3 linked regions of the Ovis aries genome follow. The protein of the gene in region 2 purifies or fractionates together with the protein of the main gene of each other region. This does not show direct contact. Links are inferred from orthologs where the notes say so. Each region holds a gene or a part of one and is shown on either strand. Other genes may lie near its edges.

Evidence for each region. Proteins that work in one complex are often made in the same cells at the same time.
Region 1: the proteins of SMNDC1 (region 2) and SF3A2 purify together in Homo sapiens (affinity purification with mass spectrometry; 4 studies listed by BioGRID and IntAct, with this or other methods). This does not show direct contact. The link is inferred for Ovis aries from reciprocal best matches to the Homo sapiens genes SMNDC1 and SF3A2.
Region 3: the proteins of SMNDC1 (region 2) and SF3A3 purify together in Homo sapiens (affinity purification with mass spectrometry; 3 studies listed by BioGRID and IntAct, with this or other methods). This does not show direct contact. The link is inferred for Ovis aries from reciprocal best matches to the Homo sapiens genes SMNDC1 and SF3A3.

Annotation. Positions count from the first base shown.
Region 1 is NC_056058.1:19,187,185-19,193,751, forward strand, and holds the end of SF3A2 (splicing factor 3A subunit 2), read left to right. Parts: intron 1-637; 5' UTR 638-676; coding exon 677-802; intron 803-1,200; coding exon 1,201-1,272; intron 1,273-2,076; coding exon 2,077-2,123; intron 2,124-2,272; coding exon 2,273-2,382; intron 2,383-3,210; coding exon 3,211-3,260; intron 3,261-3,340; coding exon 3,341-3,481; intron 3,482-3,891; coding exon 3,892-3,960; intron 3,961-4,047; coding exon 4,048-4,866; 3' UTR 4,867-4,986; downstream 4,987-6,567. Other genes in the region: AMH (muellerian-inhibiting factor precursor), read left to right, coding at 5,657-6,110. UniProt on the Homo sapiens protein: Component of the 17S U2 SnRNP complex of the spliceosome, a large ribonucleoprotein complex that removes introns from transcribed pre-mRNAs.
Region 2 is NC_056075.1:30,416,632-30,424,082, forward strand, and holds the start of SMNDC1 (survival of motor neuron-related-splicing factor 30), read right to left. Parts: upstream 4,417-7,451; 5' UTR 4,208-4,416; intron 3,121-4,207; coding exon 3,001-3,120; intron 255-3,000; exon of another isoform or gene 68-254; coding exon of another isoform or gene 65-67; intron 1-64. UniProt on the Homo sapiens protein: Involved in spliceosome assembly.
Region 3 is NC_056054.1:12,721,646-12,728,607, reverse strand, and holds part of SF3A3 (splicing factor 3A subunit 3), read left to right. Parts: intron 1-186; coding exon 187-325; intron 326-1,243; coding exon 1,244-1,312; intron 1,313-1,732; coding exon 1,733-1,800; intron 1,801-1,930; coding exon 1,931-2,038; intron 2,039-2,967; coding exon 2,968-3,037; intron 3,038-5,553; coding exon 5,554-5,718; intron 5,719-5,815; coding exon 5,816-5,926; intron 5,927-6,962. UniProt on the Homo sapiens protein: Component of the 17S U2 SnRNP complex of the spliceosome, a large ribonucleoprotein complex that removes introns from transcribed pre-mRNAs.

The sequences.
Region 1 (6,567 bases), on a different chromosome or scaffold from region 2:
GAAGGTACCCGAGGCTGGATCTGAACTGCACCTGGAGCAGTATGGGGAACAGTAGGAAATAGCAGTTGGATAGCTTGATGGGCATGGAGGAGAATCCAGGGCCTGGAAGAGTTGCCTCAGCTGCAAACGAGCTGTGACTGTCTCGTGTGTTAGGCAGTGGGGGTCGGGGGCAGGCAGGTAGACGGATGTGTTCCTTGTTCCAGCAAATGTACTGCTGAATCAGAGAAGTAGAGTTTAGGTTGCGGGAAGGAAGTGTAGACGAGCAGAAAAGAGATTCAGAGAAGGGGGTGAATGGTGTGGGCCTGGGCAGTTTGGGAAGGCTGCTTAGAGGAGATGGGACTAATTAGTGAGAACTCAGCCTCCTCTTCTCTGTTGTTGTTTCGGGTCCCTGGGTCTTTGCACTCCTCAGTCAAAGAGACCTTCCTCTCCGGTCCACCCCTACTGTCACCTGGAGATGCCTCGTTTCTCCTGTTTCTCCTTCCTCATCCCTGTGTGCCTGGCCCAGCATGGGCCCTCAGCCATTGGGAGACAGGTGGTGAAGCCAGGGCTGGGGCGGTGAGAGTGGGGAGAGGTGAGGCCAGGCCAGGAGGGTGAGATCTCACATGTAGTCTCACCAGCTGCCCCTTGGCCTCCGCAGGTTTCTCCCCTGGTCTGACAGAGTGCCCAGGGTCTCACCATGGACTTCCAGCATCGCCCCGGGGGCAAGACCGGGAGCGGGGGTGTGGCCTCCTCCTCTGAGAGCAACCGGGACCGCCGGGAGCGCCTGCGACAGCTGGCCCTAGAAACCATTGACATCAATAAGGTGTGCGCCCACCTGCCCACCCTAAAGCAGCAGCTCAGCGCCCTCCAGACCATGGTCTCCCCAGGCCTGGGGTTGGCCTGCCTGCTTCTCTCCTCTGCCCGCGCCCAGCTTGTACTGCAGCACGAGGAGCCCTGTCCCGGCTGGGGAGTTGGAGGATCAGCAGTGCACCTTCGGCTCTGCCTCTTCCTAGATCCCAGGCCACCACTAATGTGGGGCTGGGGGCTTTCAAGGGAGCCCTCTCCGGGGCTTGCTGCAGAGGCGGGCGGTCAGCCCCAGCCCTAACCCCGTGCAGTGGACCCTGTGGGATCCCAGGGGCGGTGGTGCTGGCTTGGGGCTCCAGCTTGTCCTCCATCCCTGAGCGTCTCCCCCACTGCCTGACACATGTGTTTCTTCTGCAGGACCCCTACTTCATGAAGAACCATCTGGGCTCCTATGAGTGCAAGCTGTGCCTGACGCTACATAACAATGAGGTGCGTTTTTCCCAGGGAGGTACTGGCTTTAGAGCCCCGCTGTGCCATCTCCGCCCTGCACGGCACTGGGACAGCCACCGTGGGGTCCCTACCTCCATCTGTCAGTTTCCTGTAACATCAGTGGCTCCGACATCACAGATGTGCATCTGTACATGTGGGGATGTCCAGGATGTCCACGTGGGGCGAGAGGTCTGGAAGGCATGGCTTCTAGTTTGAGTCTTTAAGCAAGTGTCAGTCGGATGCTTGCTTGCATTGGGTTCCTGTCCTTCGCCATAAGCAGGTCCTCTCTGTCCTTTCCTGTGTAAGGAGGGCGCACTTTCTGTCCAGATGGTTCGCAGCTCCAGACAGCTGCACTGAGCTGAATAGTCTCGTATGGGAGCATCTCCCAGCGGTTTTGAGGCTCCCCCTTCTCTTTGGGGGACCATCCTGGACATAGAGTCCCTGGAGGTCAGAAAAGCCTCCAGTTGGAAACTGCTGATACACATGTTTTCTTCTTGGGACATTATTGAGGTGGAATCAAAGGGCATGTTTATTCCAGGTGTCCCCACCACTGCCCAGCAATATCCACTGGCCCCACCCACATCCTGGCAGCCACAAGACTGCTGTGTCCCCCCGACCCGAGACTCTCATCTCTGGCTTTTGAGCATCTCGTCCCCCTGTGTGCAGATCCACGAGAGCTCATGTGTTCAGTAGCCACCGGGTGCCCGTCAGCACTGAGCCCTGTGGATGGAGGCGGGCCCGGGTGGGACACCGGGCACCACTCCCTCACTGTGCCCTCAATTGCATGTTCCTCTCATGTTCCAGGGGAGTTACCTCGCGCACACCCAGGGGAAGAAACATCAGACCAACTTGTAAGTACCTGGCACCCCTTCCCATGCCTGCTGTCCCCCTCACCTCACATCTCCAAGGTCGGCCGGGGATGGGCGCTCCTGGCGCCTGGGGCTGTGGCCTTGATGGCCTGTGAGGAGGGGCCTCAACACTGTGTCCGTCCCACCTGCAGGGCCCGGCGAGCAGCCAAGGAGGCCAAGGAGGCCCCCGCCCAGCCAGCACCGGAGAAGGTCAAGGTAGAAGTGAAGAAGTTTGTGAAGATCGGCCGCCCAGGCTACAAAGGTAATTGTCGATGCCCTGGGTGGGCAGTCCCTCACCCACCTCCAGCTTCACCAGTGGCCTCAGCTTCCATTAGAGGCTTCCTGCCCTGAGGGCGGGGGCCTTAGTGTCTCCTCTGCTCTTTATACTCCTAGCAGAGGTGGGTGCGAGGGTGGGAGGGGACTGCAGGCCCTGGTGTAGTCCTTTCCTCTGACCTTAGAACTGGGTGCTGGTGCCTTTTCACATGGAGAGAGAGTAAAGGAAAGAGGAGGCTTACCTGGGCCAGCAGCTGCAGAGGATCGGGTTGCCAGGGAGGAGGGGAAGGCAGGCCTCCTTGCAGGTGTTCTTGCTGAAGTGGGCACACCCTGTGTATGACTGGCGTTTCAGACAAGACATGGCTTGGGAAGGCCCTGGAGTGGTCCAGCTTGGTGAGCCAGGGCGAGGATGGCACTACCCCCAGGGAGGCCACCACAGGCCTTTTGGTCAGTCTGGGTCATCTGGCCTCTTCCTGGCTGTGTCAGGGAGACACTAAGTGCCTGAGGGCGCATATGAAGGGCCCCGGAGCTGTGTGGAGAGCAGCCCAAAGCCACAGAGCTAGACTGTGATGGGCACCCGCTCCCAGAAGGTCTGGTGGAGGAGGGTGGGCAGTGGGGAGCCCACCCTCTGCCCCCACCCAAGTGATATCAGGCAGGTGGCACCTGGGGCACAGCCCTCCCACCCTTGGGCCAATGACTGCTAGTTGCCCAGCAGGGTGACCTCCCCCCACTTGCCAAGCCAGCTCTCCCATTCGTGGGTGACATTAGGCCAGTCCTAGGACCCCGTTACTGGACCTGACATCCTCCTGTGTTGCAGTAACCAAGCAGAGAGATACAGAGATGGGCCAGCAGAGCCTCCTTTTCCAGGTGAGCAAAGGCCGGGAACCCTTTGTCCTGAGGGGAGGGGCCCCTGAGAGGCAGTGCTGTCACTGGCCGTGTCCCTGCAGATCGACTACCCTGAGATTGCCGAGGGCATCATGCCCCGACACCGCTTCATGTCTGCCTACGAGCAGAGGATCGAGCCCCCGGACCGGCGCTGGCAGTACCTACTCATGGCCGCTGAGCCCTATGAGACCATCGCCTTCAAGGTAGTTTGCTGGGACCCCGGAGGGTCCTGCAGGGTCTGCTCCATCCAAGCAGCTGGCCCCAGCCCACACCAGGCGCCCCCTCTGGGCCCTTGCCTCCTGAGGGTTGTCAGAAGACGATGCAGAGTGAGGGCAGGGGCTGGGTGTCCACCGTGAATCAGACCCTGGCATGGCCCTAGCAGTGAGGTGGCCCTGTTACCAGGCTGTGCAGGACTCTGACCTGGTCCAATTCTCAGATACATGTTAACGAGACAGGGTAGGTTGCAGCTTCCCTGGGTGGCAGGGCTGCTAAGCAGTGGAGCAAGAATGCCAGCTGTCACCCCCACGTCAGACCCTGTTCCCTCATAGAAGGGCCTCCTGGGCCAGGCCATTTCATGGTCCTGAGGGCCTGTCTGCCCCTCTACCCCGCACAGGTGCCAAGCAGGGAAATAGACAAGGCTGAAGGCAAGTTCTGGACTCACTGGAACCGGGAAACCAAGCAAGTGAGTCAGTCCATGTCCATGCAGTTCCCCATCCTTCTCCCACCCCAAGGCCTCTGGGACCCTACTCAGTTTTTCCTGTCTGTCCAGTTTTTCCTCCAGTTCCACTTCAAGATGGAGAAGCCACCAGCCCCACCGAGCCTTCCTGCTGGGCCTCCTGGGGTGAAACGGCCCCCACCCCCACTGATGAACGGCCTGCCCCCTCGCCCGCCACTACCAGAGTCGCTGCCTCCGCCCCCACCAGGAGGCCTGCCCCTGCCACCGATGCCGCCCAGTGGGCCTGCACCCTCAGGGCCCCCAGGCCCTCCTCAGCTGCCCCCACCGGCTCCTGGGGTCCACCCACCAGCACCGGTGGTCCACCCACCAGCCTCTGGGGTGCATCCCCCTGCTCCTGGGGTCCATCCCCCAGCTCCTGGGGTCCACCCCCCGGCACCAGTGGTTCACCCACCAGCATCTGGGGTCCACCCCCCTGCTCCAGGGGTCCACCCTCCAGCCCCAGGAGTCCACCCTCCTGCTCCGGGAGTCCACCCTCCAGCCCCAGGGGTCCATCCTCCCCCATCTGCTGGTGTTCACCCCCAGGCACCAGTGGTGCACCCACCAGCTCCTGCAGTTCACCCCCAGGCTCCGGGGGTGCACCCGACTCCTGCCGTTCACCCCCAGGCTCCAGGGGTCCACCCACCAGCTCCTGGGGTCCACCCACCAGCCCCTGGGATCCACCCCCAGCCTCCTGGGGTCCACCCCCCTCCTCCTGGGGTCCATCCTCCGGCTCCTGGGGTCCATCCTCAGCCACCTGGGGTGCACCCCTCAAATCCTGGGGTGCACCCCCCAACGCCCATGCCCCCGATGCTGAGGCCTCCACTGCCCTCCGAAGGCCCTGGGAACATTCCTCCCCCTCCCCCCACCAACTGAAAAGCCACCCCCATCCTAGCAAGTCTGGTTTGGTTTTCCTGGGTTTCGCCCTCAGAGTAGAGTTCTTTTGTACTGGGCTGGGTGTCCTCAGAGCTCATTAAAGAGTCTGCTGACCCTGAACTGGACTGCTGTGTTAACCTGTGGGCGGTCAGCTTGCTGTGGGTGAACACACGTGACTGCTTTCCACCACCATAGGGGGTGTCAGGGTCCCACCTGGACCACAGGGGGTGGCCCCTGCTGTCTCTGCAAGGACAGACCCTGTGGGCCAGCAGAATGTGGGGTGGTTCTCTGGGAAGACAGCAGAGCGAAGAAGGCTGCTCACTCTCCTTGGGGGTCTCTGTGGGCCTCAGAGGTAGGGTGAGCGAGCACGTGGGGTCACTGGGGGACAGACCTGCCTACCCGATGTGAAGCGTCATCCCCCTTGGGGCTGGCACCTGAATCCTCCTGGGGCAGGGGCTCCACACCTTGCCCTCCAACACCCCCAGGTTGTTGATAGTCTGACTGTCTGGGGCATGCACTCCTGCTCACATTCCTGCTCTGGGGAGGGGAAAGATTTGTCAAGGACAGTCTGACAAATGGGTCACAGGCCACACACACTGTATCACTGCTCAGGAGATAGACAGGCAGGTTGGAACAGAGGGGGCTTTGAGAAGGCCACAGGCCTCCCAGGCTCGCAGCAGGCACCAGTCTCCAAGGTCATGTCCCAGGAGGAGATAGGGACTGCCCTGTACCACAAACAGCCCTGCTCCCCTTATAAAGTAGGGCAGCGCAGCCCCTGGAAGCTCCCAGGATGCCCGGTCCATCTCTCTCTCTGGCCCTGGTGCTGTCGGCCATGGGGGCTCTGCTGAGGCCAGGGACCCCCAGGGAAGAGGTCTCCAATACCTCAGCCTCGCCCAGGGAGCAGGCCACAGGCAGCGGGACACTCATCTTTCAGCAAGGCTGGGACTGGCCACTCCCCAGTCTCTGGCTGCCAGGCAGCCCTCAGGACCCCCTGTGCCTGGTGACCCTGCATGGGAGTGGCAACGGGAGCAGGGCCCCCCTGCGGGTGGTGGGGTCCCTGAGCGGCTATGAGCAGGCCTTCCTGGAGGCTGTGCGGCGCACCCACTGGGGCCTGAGTGACTTGACCACCTTCGCTGTGTGCCCCGCTGGTGACGGGCAGCCTGTGCTGCCCCACCTGCAGCGGCTGCAGGCATGGCTGGGGGAGCCCGGGGGTCGGTGGCTGGTGGTCCTGCACCTGGAGGAAGGTATGTGTTGTGTCGGGGCTGGGGTGGGAGGCCAGGCTCTAGTGCCCTCCTCCCAAGAGCAGAGGACTGCAGAGCCCCCAGCCCAGACCCCTCCCCAGTCTCAGGAAGTGGAGGCTAATGGCCAGAGAGGTGGGTCACTGTATCTTTGCTTGTTTGGGGCCAGAAGTTCTCCAGCTCCCAGCCACCCCTCTCCCCATGCAGTGCCTGGCAGAGGGGGATGTGGGGGCTAACACCTTGTTCACCTACCTGGGAGCTACACAGTGGGGGATGGAGGAGGGAGGCAGGTCAGTGCAGCCTGATGGTCCAGCAGAGGAGTGCCTCTCCCTCCACACTGGGTAGCAAGAGGTTCCTGTTCCAAGGGATCGCTGTCCTCAGACCCACTACCAGGACTCCCCCAGGAGCTCTCCAGGCCTAGAGCCCCCAAGGGCTGGGGAAACACAGGTGGCAGCCCCACTGC
Region 2 (7,451 bases):
TGCATATGGACCAAAGTATTATAAATATGATTTCATGTATGAGGGAGTTCTTAAAGGTACATACCATTAATTACTTTTCCTCCCCCAAGTCTGAGTTCTGAAACTGCTCCTTCATTGACAGATGGGCAGCAGTTACAGTTATCGGCAATTCCAGGAAGCATCAGATGTTGTGATCTACATATCAGCAGGTCAAAGGGGGTGCACTCAAGCACTCTGCTTACTGAAGGAAGGCGTTTCGGGGATGCAGAGAGCCACTGTAATATATGAGACAAGTGACTTGACCCCTGCCTCCTTTAGAACCAGTTTATTCAGCAAAACAGCCTAATAAATTGATTATTTTTGTGATTATCATAGACTGCCTGGGGAGCTAGTCAACTAGCTAGCCTGGATTTTACTAAACTCACTTCTTTAAAGTGAAAAAAGAAAACAAATTAGGATTTCAGAAGACTGATTTGCTGCCTATTGAGTAACTTTATATGAAAGATAGTGTGTTAAGAGATAAACATAGACGTCTTACTGGCAAAATGAAAGTCACTGGAAAAAATGCAGAAAAAGGATTCTGCATAAATGAAACTGCAAACAAATTATTAACCAGAGTAAGGATATTCCATAAAAGCAACACAAAAAAATAAAGGAGACTACAAACTCGGTCATCAGTCTGTGAAGACTTTTCAGCAAATATAAAAGATAGAATTAAATACCAATGGCCCAAGGCATATCCCAGAAAGCAAGGAAGGAAAAGGATTTTTTAAAAAACAAAAACCTATGACAAAATAGAAACTGTAGCTATAGTCAATGGAGATAACAATTACTAGATGGAAGCAGATAGCAAAATATTTTTCAGAATTTTCTCTAATATTAAACGATGTTTTCCATCTTTGAGTAGTTTTCAGTTCAAAAACAAACCTGTATCTAGTAACCAAAATGACTGCTTTTTTTCCATGAAAGGAAAAGAATTTGAGGTCAAGATTGGTCGGGAAAAACATTCTCTGTTATTGCTAACTGAAGTGTTAGAACGTGCACTTCTAAATCTGTGCCATCTGATATGGTAGCCACATATGGTTACCTAAAATTAAAAATTCAGTTTTTCAGCCATCCTAGTCTTATTCCAAGTATTTGACAGCCCCATGTACCTAGCAGCTATAATATTAAATAGCAGATATAGAGTACTTCCATCACCACAGAAAGTTCTATTGGACAATGTCTTTCAAAATGGTTATTTAAAAAAGAATATTTTACAGAATGACCTCCAGGTCATTATTAACTGAACCCTAAGTAAGCCATTTACCTGGTTACTACAATGCCTACAGCAATGGTCTCCCTCCCTACAGTACTTCCACTATAGATCATGTCCTAACACAATTCTGCCCAGACTCTGAAATATATTCCAGAAATACTAAAATACCAAGACTCATAATAATGCTGTCTTCACTCCCAACTCCCTGCTCCACCAGTTCCACATATACCCCTCCTTCTTACTGCCAATTAAATATAGGAAGCAATGTATACAACATTGACACAATGTTTCACTTTCTTCAAAGGAAAAAAGGACTGCTTTTAAGTTGGTTTTTAATGAGAGAGAGAGAGAGAGAGAGAGAGAGAGAGAGAGAGAGAGAGATGGGGGTAGGTCAGGCTCTCTAAGACAAGCAGAAAGTTGGCCTGAGATGGGAGAAACTGCTCCCAAAACATCTTTTTCTTACTGACTAGCTCCCTGAAATCCACTGACCTGACTGCTACATACTGAAGAGAGGCTTTGGTTTCTGTTTTTTTGTTTGTTTTTAAATAACATACTATTGCAACTTCACGCACATCTATCCTAAATCCAGAAATTGAACCTAAAAATATTCAACTCATTTAAATTATGCCCAGGTAGGCTTTTAGAATTGTGAATCTGGACCCCATTTCAAATAAGTTTTGCTTGTTTGCAGTTCTACTATCCCTAAAATATTGATCATTTTAATTGGCAAGAGGCTGATATAAACAGAGAGAAATGATATGTAGTATGAAGATGATTCGAGTTGTTTTGAATCAGTGAAGATAAGTCATCTAATCAAAACATCTTTTAAAACTCTCCAAAAAATCAGATTCAGAATTAGATGAAAAGCCATAGATATTTACAAATATTATATATGGTGTTTTTATTAATCAACCTAGGGTTGTGAGAAATAATAGATATTTACTTCTATGGCTTTATGTTTGTCTTGAAACCCCAGAGGAAGTTTTAAAAAGCCGGTTTCATACTTACTGCTCTTCCAGGACAAAAGGAACACATTAAATCCAGGTCGTCTTTTTACATAGATTCGGTTTAATTTCAAGTTGCTAATAAGTGTCAATAATTACATATAAGACCTAGCCTTAAGTTCAAACATTATGTAACATTTATGCAGAAAACAAACATCTCTTTAGGCATTTTTATAATGTGTTTTCAACACAGGCACTAGAGCTAGCTTTGTTACACTTACACACACACACAGGATCTCTGGCATGGGTGCTCTATTTCATTTTCAAAGAAATCTTGTGGCACTGAAAAGAATCTGATATAATCTGATTAAGCTATATTTTCCTCTTTTAATTTTAGTTACCCTTTGAAGTAAAATTACTTTTCCAAGTCTTTACAAACAGAAACATTATCCACTGTCAAGTTATATGTACCTCTTTTTCTAGAGTGATAGTGACTTATTAGCTCTTACTTTTATTTTTTTTAATTTTTTTATTTTTTTAGCTCTTACTTTTAAAAATTATAAGAGCATATAAGGATGACACAACAAAGAACAATGTTTCAGCTGTTTTGATGTACACAAACTGAGGAAGCAACCCTTCTCTTAGAAGCCAAGTATGCCTCTGTGGGTGCACACATGTACACACAAGGGGTGTGAAGGGGAGAAACACTCCCTCCAAAGGTATTATGGGTACCCATAGATTCTAGGCAATAAGCCACTTATAAGCCACAGAAATACTCTTTTCAAGCAATGAAGCTATTATGTATTGCCCCATACTTACTTGTAAATCTTTCTTTAATTTTAGTAAATCTTCATTTTCTCCATTTCCAGACAGCGCAGCCTCAACTTGCTGGAGTTGAGCTTTGTAGCTTGCCAGCTGCTTTGCTAGATCCTCTGACATCTGGTGAAAATAAAGAATAAAGTCATGAAAACAGAACCAAAAAAACAAAACATAAGAGAAACATTTTTTTCCTGTCGGCCTGAATTAACCCTTACCCATTTTGTTCCCAACTCATCATAATTCACTGCAGCATAATTTATTACTACTAGTATTCTGAAGATTATAAACATGTAAGATACATTCCATATAGAAACAGAAAACGAGATAAGAGGAAAAGGGAGAATAATTTCTAATTTTCTTTAAACTATTAACAGGGAAGAGACATTGTGTTAGGCTCAAGGAACAGGACTGTTATATCACATCACCAAAAATTAAAATAGAAGGCACTAAACTGTTGAAAGATTTGAGGCTTCCAATTTTTAAGGGCTAAAAAGTACTTCGAAAGCCAAATATAAATGGCTTTTGGATTAACTACGACTTTCTCCACAAGAGTTATAATGCGTGTGTTCAGAAACTTCTCCACACTGCAAAAATCTTTTCACGCAGTCACTTAAAATACTGCCAATGTATTTTTCTGCAGTAAAAGAAACATCACAGATGCTCTCCAATTTAGGCAATCTAAACTACGGGCCTTTCACTAAATCCAGCTCGTACTTCTCCTGAAAATAAGGCCGGAGAGAATTCTTTCTCGCTTTATTAGCAAACGTACAGGGTTTCCGAGACCGGTCTGTGTAACAAATCCCGGCCAACCGCAGCCCAGAACCTGGAAGTACTTCAAAAGGGTTGGTGCAAGCCAGGCTGCTTCCCTTCAGTCACCCTACACCTCAAAGCCCGCCACAACTAGCTCGACCATCTCAGACCTCGAAATTCCAACAACTTCCAAGGAAACCGAAAACAAGAACGGAGCCGAGGCCCCAGGAACCGGAGCCCCACCCGCAAACAGGCTCCGCACAGAAGGGCCGAGGGCGTCCTTAAGATGCCTCCCGCGCCCAGCCCAACCCCGTTCAGGGACGCTTGGGCTCAACTCTGCGTGGAAGAGGAGGCCGGCGCCCGCGCGTCTCCACTGCGGCCTCGGCCTCTGGCCTCCGGTTCAACTCGTGAGAGGTCGAGGCCCAGCGAGGCCTCACTGTCTCCCTCATCGCGTTACCTTGTGTGGGGTTGGGAGAGTGGCGGCGGGAAGGGGTAGGGGGCAAATGAGCCCAGCGGTGGCAGCAACAGCAACAGCAGCAGCAACAAAACAGTCCGCGTCGACAACTAGTTAACCCGGGCTAGAAATTCGGGTCTCAGCCGGGAGTGAACTGGGGAGAACCAAAGCCGGGGACTGGAAAGAGGTATAGAAGAGGCGGGTGAAGTCTCGCGAGAGGTTAAAACTCCTCGCGAGATGTCTCTCGATTCACGTGATTCCTAGTGCCCTCTAAGCCGCCGGTCCTTAATCACGTCAGGGACGTGAAGTGGACCGCGCCGGGGTCGGGGACGGGGAGCGGGGAGGACGAGGTGGGAGGGGGGAAAGGGCGGATAGGTAGGAAATGACGTACTGGGATGCGCCAGGCGCCGGATGTAGGTTCGTCTTCTGTTAGTTCCGGCTCGGACTGGGGAGTCCGTTTGTTATTTTAGGTCTGGGCTCAGTCCGGCGGATCCTGAGGTTCTCAGGGTGCTGGGTGGCAGGTTTAATACAGAATTCTTCCTAGAGGCTGGTTCTCAGAATTTGGTCCCAGCACCATCAGCATTGCCTGGTGTTTATTTTTTACAGTAATTTATAATTTATTGCAAAAATAATACACTATAAATACATACTTTCAACACCCACCGCAGACCTTTGAATCAGAAACATTGAAGATGGGCGCAGCAGCCTATTTCAGTAAGCCTTGTAGGGGATACCAATGTCCGCTCGAGTGTGAGAACCACTGCTTCATATTAATAGAATAGTAAAAGTCCTAATGGCATCAGAAAGCTGATTAGATTGTGGCAGAACCTATTGGACAGTAGATTAGATTATTTAAAACCTATTTTGACTTTTCGAGGGCGGTTACCCAGGCTGTGGACCGCCCCAGGAGCAGGAGCTGTGTATCCTCCCCTTTTCCGTTTACCGTTGTAAACAAAGGCCTTTCCTACCATTAAAAAATATATATATATACCTTTTATAAGCACTTCCTGGTTTTAATTAGGTTATATAATGCCACCCGCAAGGGAACAGTCTCCAAGTTATAATCTTGAATATAAGCAGATTGTGTAAGCACTTAATGTTTAAAAAGAGATGTGTTTTAAGTGTAATAATATATACTATTTAGGGACGGATATACAAATCTATCTAGAGATTTGCAGTGGAACCCAAATGTTTTCACTGATTATCCTTCCTACTTTTAATCTTTCCCCCATACGCATGTAGTTTTCTCCAATTTAAAAAAAAAAAAAAAACTACAACAACTAAAAAGACCTGAGACACGAAGAGGCTCTATGAATGCCAGGAAAGAAAATTCCCTGTTTTGTTTTGTACAAACGCACACATCCCTCATTGAGTCAGAGAACCTGTAGAGATGAAACTAGGTCAGGTTTGTGGCAGTCAACTTGTAAGAACTGAAACTGCTGCAGAGGGCAGCCACCTGTAGCTGGAATGAAGAGGGAAGACAAACCAGAGGGGATGCCCTTTATTAAAAATATGTTAAAAACACGATGTAGTTTTTGACAGTTGCTCTTATTTTAATTGTATATTTTAAGAACTAACGCCAGGAGGATCTTCCTTGAAAATAAATTTTACAGCTGTGTAAGTTTGCCACATAAGAACTCTTCATGAACCCCTAGATCAGAGAATAGGAAAATATGTATAAGCTCCAGTAAAGTTTTTTGATAACTTTTTGTTTTTAGGATTGCCTTTAATCTCTCCTTCTGTGCAACATAGAATATATTTGGAAAGAAAAGTTATATTGAATGTTATTAGTTCTCACAAAGAGAGAACAGTTGTGTGTGCCAGGCAGCATTATAAACTACATGTATTCATTTATTTTTCACTATGATTTGGTGTATTTTTAAAGACAAAACTGAAGCAAGTATAAGCTTTGACTAAGCCTGCTACTTCAAATAGGTGTTCTGACTTACCACCTCCTTTGAAGTGTCAAAATCCTCTTTCAGTGTCGGATTTTTCTTAAAACATTCTGACTCAAAATTTAATCATGTTTATTTTTCAAAAACAACAGTATCAAAAACCTTTAGTTCTTTAAACCTGGTATTTATTTTATTGAACTCAGTAAATAAAGTTTAAAGATGCCACAGCTATTTCCTTTCACTCCTAAAGAAAATTAAAGCATAGCCATGCCTTTGGAATGCACTAACTCTTTGCAGAGCGTAAACCTATGCGCTAAATTCATATATTTATACATGTTGGTTAAATGGGAGGTTGCATTCTTTAGCTTAGCTTTTGTTATATCCCTTCACTGAAGTAGCCCCAAATTTTCCTACATTTTTGCTGTCTATACAGATGCCTAATGTGATGAGAGATGTGCACATAGTAATAATAACTATACCCTTTGCCCTTTTTAATCATAAGATGTGTTTTGAATGTTTACATGGGGATTTGTCTCAGGGCAAGCTACTGGCTTTTTCTGCCTATTGAGTAGTTTTGGGGGTACAATGCATTCAGAACATATTCAGAATATGTTCTGAGGGTAAAAAGAAGAGAACCAAAAAAAGTCTCAAACATCACAGATTTATTGCTAATAGTAGTATTGGTAAGGTAAGATAATTTTAAAACTTTTATGTCTACTCTAGATAAAGTGAATAATTAGTAATTTTGTTAGTTAAAACTCTAATAAGAGGGAACAAATATTAAAGAAAATTCTTTTGTGAAAAGTCCTCTGGTGTTAAATTTGAAATTTGAATATATATATATTTATATATCTTAGAGGTAATGTTATCCTAGTGGAGTGTGCCCATATGTTGATATCTAAATACCATTCCCCATGAAAGAAACAGTGTTTCTTGGAGAAATGATGGAGTTAGGGTCTCAGGCCAGAAAAGTACAACAGTACAAACGTGAGCCTGAAACATCTTGCCATAAAACAAGAAAATGCCCCCAAATTCTTAGGATCAAGTCAAAAACTAACAGAACCCAGCTTGAGGGAACTGCATTGGCCAAAGATGAGTCAGTCTTGACATTAAAAGAATAATGACTATGATCAATTATCAAATCATTCAGTAAGTTCAGTTCAGTCGCTAAGTTGTGTTGGACTCTTTGCAACCTCATGGACTGGAGCATGCCAGGCCTCCACGTGCATCAGCAACTCCCGGAGTTTACTCAAACTCATTTCCATTGACTCGGTGATGCCATCTAACAATCTGATCCTCTGTCATCCCCTTCTCCCACCTTCAATCTTTCCCAGCATCAGGGTCTTTTCAAA
Region 3 (6,962 bases), on a different chromosome or scaffold from region 2:
CTTGAGGATGAAAGAAGATAGGAAAGGTCAGAATCAAGGTGACATATTAGAAGAAAGCCAATTGTAAGCTCATTTTTATTCCTTCAAAAGACTAGTATCACTGGAGTTATAAGTATATCTTATAGGGCATAACGGTATATCAGAAACAGAAACCTTGCTGTCTCTGTATTACATATTCCTCTGTAGATATCTGGAGATGCTGCTTGAATACCTTCAGGATTACACAGATAGAGTAAAGCCTCTCCAAGATCAGAATGAACTTTTTGGAAAAATTCAGAACGAGTTTGAGAAGAAGTGGGAGAATGGTACTTTTCCTGGATGGCCGGTGAGCTTCAGTGGGGGTTTGGGTGGAGGACATTCCAGGGAAGTAAACTATTTTACTTTAATCTTGAGCCTCTGCTTTAGGCCTTCGGATGCTGGTCCCTTGGGATCAGTTGTAGCCAGGAGGTGTTCTCTGCCAAGTATGCTGAGTTTTCTCTGTATACTTTGGAAAGAGATTTGTCAGGGCCCACTTGCCATTGGCTGAGCCCAGCATTTTCACCAACCATATCATTACTGCTCTGTGGTTCCTACTGACCAAAAGCTGATATAATTATGTGCTAGAAATCTTTATTATATATTTTCATTCCTGGGGACAAACATGAATTTTTTCTGAAATCTCTGGGAGAATTGGACCATCTAGTTTTAGTTGGTGTGTTTTTTTTTTTCCTTTTTGCTCTGCTCTTAAAGGCATTTGATTCTCACTCATACATGTTTATAAGGGGCCACCCAGCACCTGGTACACACACACCTCGTCTTACTGCACTTTGCTTTCTTGCACTTCTCAGATGGTGCAGTTTTGTGTTGTTTTTTTTTTAACAAATGCAGCAACTCCCTGCATCAGGCAAGTCTACTATTGCCAGTTTTTATTTTGTTACGGTGGTCTTTGATTTTTATTACTACCAAGACTCAGATGGTGGTTAGCATTTTTTCGCAATAAAGTTTTTTAACTAAGACATGTGTGTTGTCTTTTTAGACATAATGGGATTGTGCACTTAATAGACTACAGTATAGTGTAAACATAACTTTTGTATGCACTGGGAAACCAGGAAGAATTGTGGGACTTGTTTCATTGCGATAATTGTTTTACTGCAGTGGTCTGGAACTGAACCTGCAATATCTCCAAGGTATGCCTGTAATTTAGATGACTCCCTTGCCTTTGTTCTAATCCTGGGTCTTAATAAACATCGTATTGTTTTTCCAGAAAGAGACAAGCAGTGCCCTGACCCATGCCGGAGCCCATCTTGACCTCTCTGCATTCTCCTCCTGGGAGGTATGTTTTCTTTAGCCTGTGCTGGTCTTGCCTGTTCACGCCTCAGAGGGGTCACTTGATCTCCTAACGCTACAGACTTATTACGGTAAGACACAAATCCTTGAGATAAGCATCTACGAAGAATATAGAAAGATGAAAAAAAAAGCTTATCCAATTTCTTTGAACACTGTTAACTGAAAATTAACCATCTTAAGCTATAGTGGAGGTAGTGGAACACAGCCAGTATGGTTACGGATGAACTTAATCACAGAGTCGGTCCTTTGGAGAGTTGGAGCATCCTGCTAGGAGACTGGCTATGGAATGTGTGGTCTTGCCACTGTTTTAGGAACACCCACACACCAGCCTGCAAACCTAAGTTTGAGCATTTGTTGCTTCTCCAAGTCTATTTATATAAAATTGTAACTTGTTTCTTTCATATAGGAGTTGGCCTCCCTGGGTCTGGACAGATTAAAATCTGCACTCCTAGCTTTAGGCCTGAAGTGTGGCGGGTAAGAGACTGATTTTTCTATCAGAACTGTCTCGTTTACTTTGAGTTTCACAATCTTCTCCACACTGCAAAGAGAAGCAAGCCTAGATGGTAAAGTAATCCTGAAATCCTTTGCCCCTGTGTCTCCTTAGGACCCTAGAAGAGCGAGCCCAGAGGCTATTCAGCACCAAAGGAAAGTCCCTTGAGTCACTCGACACCTCCCTGTTTGCCAAAAATCCCAAGACAAAGGGCACCAAGCGGTAAGTGGCGGGGAGGGGGCACCTCTGCTTACATTTTAAGCTTTTTATTCCCGTGCAGAATTCATACCACATCGGAAATTTTAAAGCCCATTTTATCACCGCTATTGATCCATCCGGCTCCAGTCTGCTCTTTTTCTCTGCTAATGGCAGACAGTTCTCTCATCGTTACTATAAACCAAGGACAGTCTGTACTCAGGTGTCTGAGAGTGGGTGACGTCTCTAAAGTTGAAACTGTACCCCGGGTATCTTTTGTTACCTCTGTAGGTTATAGAGGGTAAGTTGGTTCAAAAGTGTTCGTCTAAGTGCATTTTTGCTAGTAACAGTTGAATCTGTTCCTGAGCCACATGCTTGTACAGGGTATTTTTTTTATATGTGATTTTGCTAATTCTCAAAACAAGCTTGAAAAGTATTTGTTATCCTCATCTTTGACAGATAAGGACTTAGAAAAGTTATACCTGTTATCTCACAGTTACTAAGTAGCAAGACTTGGGCCCAAGTCTGCCTCTTCCAGAGCTTGCCCTTCTGTACCACATTTCCTTTGTATAGGAATTTAAATACCTGGACATGCCTTTCACTCTCTAGAATGAGGTCAAAGAGGAAGCTTCTATGCATTCTAAGAAATAATCTCGAGAAAAATGCCTGGCAGTCCAGTGGTTTAGACTGCTCGCTTCCACTGTAGAGGGCTTGGATTTGATTCTTGGGAAGCTAAGATCCTATAAGCCACATAGCATGGCCAAAAATATTTTTTTAATTAAAAATAAATAAAGATAACAAGTCCTGAGCTGAACAGAACATTTGCTTTCACAACGTGATGTTTCTCTTGTGCTTGTAATTTTAGATGCTCCTATGGAATAAATATTCCCAGATATAGAGAACATGGCATTGGGTGAAAGAACCCTTAAGTGATACAGTTTGTTTCTTATTTCCAGAGACACTGAGAGGAACAAAGACATTGCTTTCCTTGAAGCCCAGATATACGAATATGTAGAGATTCTTGGGGTAAGTGACTCAGCTGAGGGCTGTAAATGCTCCAAGTTGTGGAAGTAAGAAGCTATGAACTTGTAGGATATTTTTTACGATTGCAAGAGAAAATGCATAGATCAAACTACTGTAGCCGAAAATTGTGTTCTCCCATGGTATTTAGCCCTTCACTGAGGTCCTGCTCTGTTGTTAGGGGTCTGTTGTTAGGTGACATTCCTAGGTTTGCTCAATCCCCTGAGGCTGGGTGGGAGAGTAGACTCCCCTCTCCATGTAGAATCCAGATTCTTTCCCTGAGCTCCAGAATAGAGCCAGGGGTGATCCAGGAAGCAGACACTCAAAAGGTGTGTAAGATGTGACTAGAGTCATCTGTTGGCTCCCTCTTTTACACCTGCTTTGGATAAAAGGAGGTTAGCCAGACGTTGGATACGTGGGATACTTATACTCTCCACAGGGAACTAGAACTGTGCGAGTGTGGGCAGCAGTCTGAGTTGCCAGTCCTCTGAAGACGACTGAGGCTAATCTTTGCCCCTGACATAGGTGTGCCCACAGCAGCAGGTCTTCATGAATGACTTTCTCTGAAAAGGCATAACTTACATGTTCACAGGGTTGGAGCAACTTACATGGTACTAGGTTTGGAGGTTAGTGGTGCAGAACTGGCTGTGAGCTGCTCCTTGAGTATTTTTTCAAGAAGAAGCTGAAGAGGGTTACAGGTACAAAAAGGCCTACCCAACCAAGATGCTTATCTTAGAGAAAGTTGGGGGAGGAGCAGGAGAAAATGATTCTCTTTCAGGGAAGAGAAGGTGGAAGATGGTCATTGTCTCTGGGAGTGCTGCAGAGAGGACCAGCCTTTCTGAGTGTCTGCTTTGTGCAGTTTTCAACTGCTCTCAGAGCCTTTTCCTTTCCAGATGCTCACATGGTGCTTTGAGTAGGTGGCTCTGGTTCAGATAGCTGGTCCACATGTCTTTGTCTCTTGCCCTTGTTTGATGACCACGTGTATAATAACTCATAAAACTAGAGTCATTGTTGGATCCCACTGTTACAACTCCTTTGGATGAAAGGGATTAGCTAGACATTGGATATGTGGGATACTTATACTCTCCACACTGAACTAGGACTGTGCTAGTGTGGGCCCTTGGACTGCAAGGAGGTTCAGCCAGTCCATCCTAAAGGAGATCAGTCCTAGGTGTTCATTGGAAGGACTGATGTTGAAGCTGAAACTCCAGTACTTTGGCCACCTCATGCGAAGAGCTGACTCATTTGAAAAAACCCTGATGCTGGGAGGGATTGGGGACAGGAGGAGAAGGGGACAACAGAGGATGAGATGGTTGGATGGCATCACCGACTTGATGTACATGGGTTTGGGTGGACTCCGGGAGATTGTGAGGGACAGGGAGGCCTGGCGTGCTGCAGTTCATGGGGTCGCAAAGAGTCAGACACGACTGAGCGACTGAACTGAACTGAGTGTGGACAGCAGACTGAGTCACCGGTCCTTTGAAGACAAATGCGAGGCTCATCTGTGCCCCTGACATAAGGTGTGCCCACAAGTCCTACCTTTGAGAGCATTTTGCTTTCCCCGCCAGGAGGTGGCACTATTCTCCTTGGAATTCCAGCCAGTTCCAGCCAAAATGAGTTCCAAAAGTTGATCTTGTTATGAATTGGTATTATTTTTACCATTGCTTCACCATTTACTGACACCTGTTGGTGTCCAAATATTATGCTAAATCTTTGAATGCAGTCGTGAATGTGACATAGCCTCTTATCCTTGAAAAGCCCAGTTTGTGACTGAGGGCTACAGATAACTGCAGTATAATGTGATGTTCACTGTAATACTTTGAGATTGGGTGTTCTAAGTATAAAGAGGGAGATTAAGATGTTCCAGGTGGAGGAAACAGCAAGTATGAAGGTAAAATTACTGTGAAAGGAAATAATGAGAAAACAAACCATTGTCCCTGGGTATGTCTGGTGAGGGATGGTGTAGTCAGAGAAAAATTTGGAAAGTTATTGTATGTTGAGAGGTTGGACCTTGTCCTTTAAGTAGCAGAAAGCAGATTAAAGTGTTTTTAAGCAAAGTGTGCCACGAGATTGGTTTTCTCCAGCAGATAAATCTGGGGACAGCATGGAAGCTAGACTGGAGTGAGGACAGACTCGGGGCAAGTTGGAACGTTGTCACCTTGGTGAGGGCAATAACAGTGGGAAAGAGAAAGGAAGACTGATTCAGGGAACGGTTTAGGGACAGAAGAGAAAAGACTTCTATTGTTCTGCGATTGTCTGTGGCCTCAGATGACTAACTAGGCAAGTGCTAGGTTTAACTTTTTCCGTTTTTTTTGTTTTGTTTTTACTTTTTCCTTTAAGATCAGGAAAGGTCTGCTGAAGAGGAATTCTGTTTGAAAGCAAGACTTTCCTTTTGTTGTGCAAGAAAGAAAACTTGATCCTTAAAAATGAAGGATCAACAAAGGTTATAGGAAAACAGGAAATTTCCCTTTTTGTTCTGCACTCTTCTCTCACCTCCCCTTTCATTCATGGCCCTGACATAGGAGCAGCGACATCTCACTCACGAAAACGTGCAACGCAAGCAGGCGAGGACTGGAGAAGAGCGGGAAGAGGAAGAGGAGGAGCAGATCAGTGAGAGTGAGAGCGAAGACGAAGAGAACGAGATCATTTACAACCCCAAAAACCTGCCCCTGGGCTGGGACGGCAAAGTCAGTCCTCCGCTGCCCTCTTTCCCCCTTCTCTCATTTTGGCAGCACATGCAGACACTGGTCTAATACTGTTTTTCTTTTGTCTCATTTCTTTTAGCCCATTCCTTACTGGTTGTACAAGCTTCATGGCCTAAATATCAACTATAACTGTGAGATTTGTGGAAACTATACCTACCGAGGTCCTAAGGCCTTCCAGCGGCACTTTGCTGTAAGAAATTTGGCGCTTCTCCTGGACATGGAAGCTTGAAACATGAGTCTTTTAGAGAAGAGGATAGGAGCAGCCTGAGAGGATCCCTAGCCTCCAGAGCTAGAGCGAATCAGAGGAGTGGACATAAAGTCCAGCATGTGGCATTTGGCTTCTGGCAGCAGTGCCAGCCTTGGGTTGCACCTGAAACGGTTTCTGGAGGCATTCCACTATTTGAACCATGTTCCGTTTTTTCTTGCTTGCCCTTCCTGCCTTTCTAACTCGTTGGTCATTTTTCTCTCTCCTGTTGCTGGTACTCAATACCAAAGAAAGGGCTGACCGCCTCCTTCTTTGGGTCTTAAATGGGCCTTTGCCTCTTGGGAAAAAAAAAAAAAAAGAGGATGACATTTATCAAGCTATTCTTGAGAGAAGGCATTATGTGGGTGGTACTCCAGTAAGTGAATTCAGCCTTGTTTTGTTTCTACCTTCAGTTCTCAGTACTTGGAGGGAAATTTTACAGAATAGAAGACATGCTAGATGTAGCCAAGAATGGAGAATGTGTGTGAATTCCTCTTTGTCTTCCTCAGATGTGCATATTACTGATTCTGGGGCCTTTTCTGCCGAACTCCAGTAGTCTCTAAGTCTTTCTCAGTACCACCTCCAGTGAATTGGAATTGGCATCCAGGGCCCATGCCATCTGCCATCCCTGAGCCATACTGTCATTGCATCAGCCCCCTCCTTGGTCTCTTTCATATCCTTGCTTGTACCTGATGAACAGTCTTCTCCTTTACTTCTAAAGATGACACTGACTTGCCATCAGTAATGCTTACACATGCTGGTGGGGGGGTTGCATAGGAGGGAAGTGATGAGTTAGAGTTGTGGTCTTGACACAGATTTTGTCTGGATCTAGGTTTCATAAACCTGCCCAGTGAGGCAGACATACGGTGCTGCTTTGAAGTAACTGCCTCTTGTCAGTCATAGCCAGTTGTCTACAGACAGGAACCTCAAAAGTTGAATACTGCCTTTCGGTGGAGCCTTTTGCAAAGGATTAGGGAAGGTT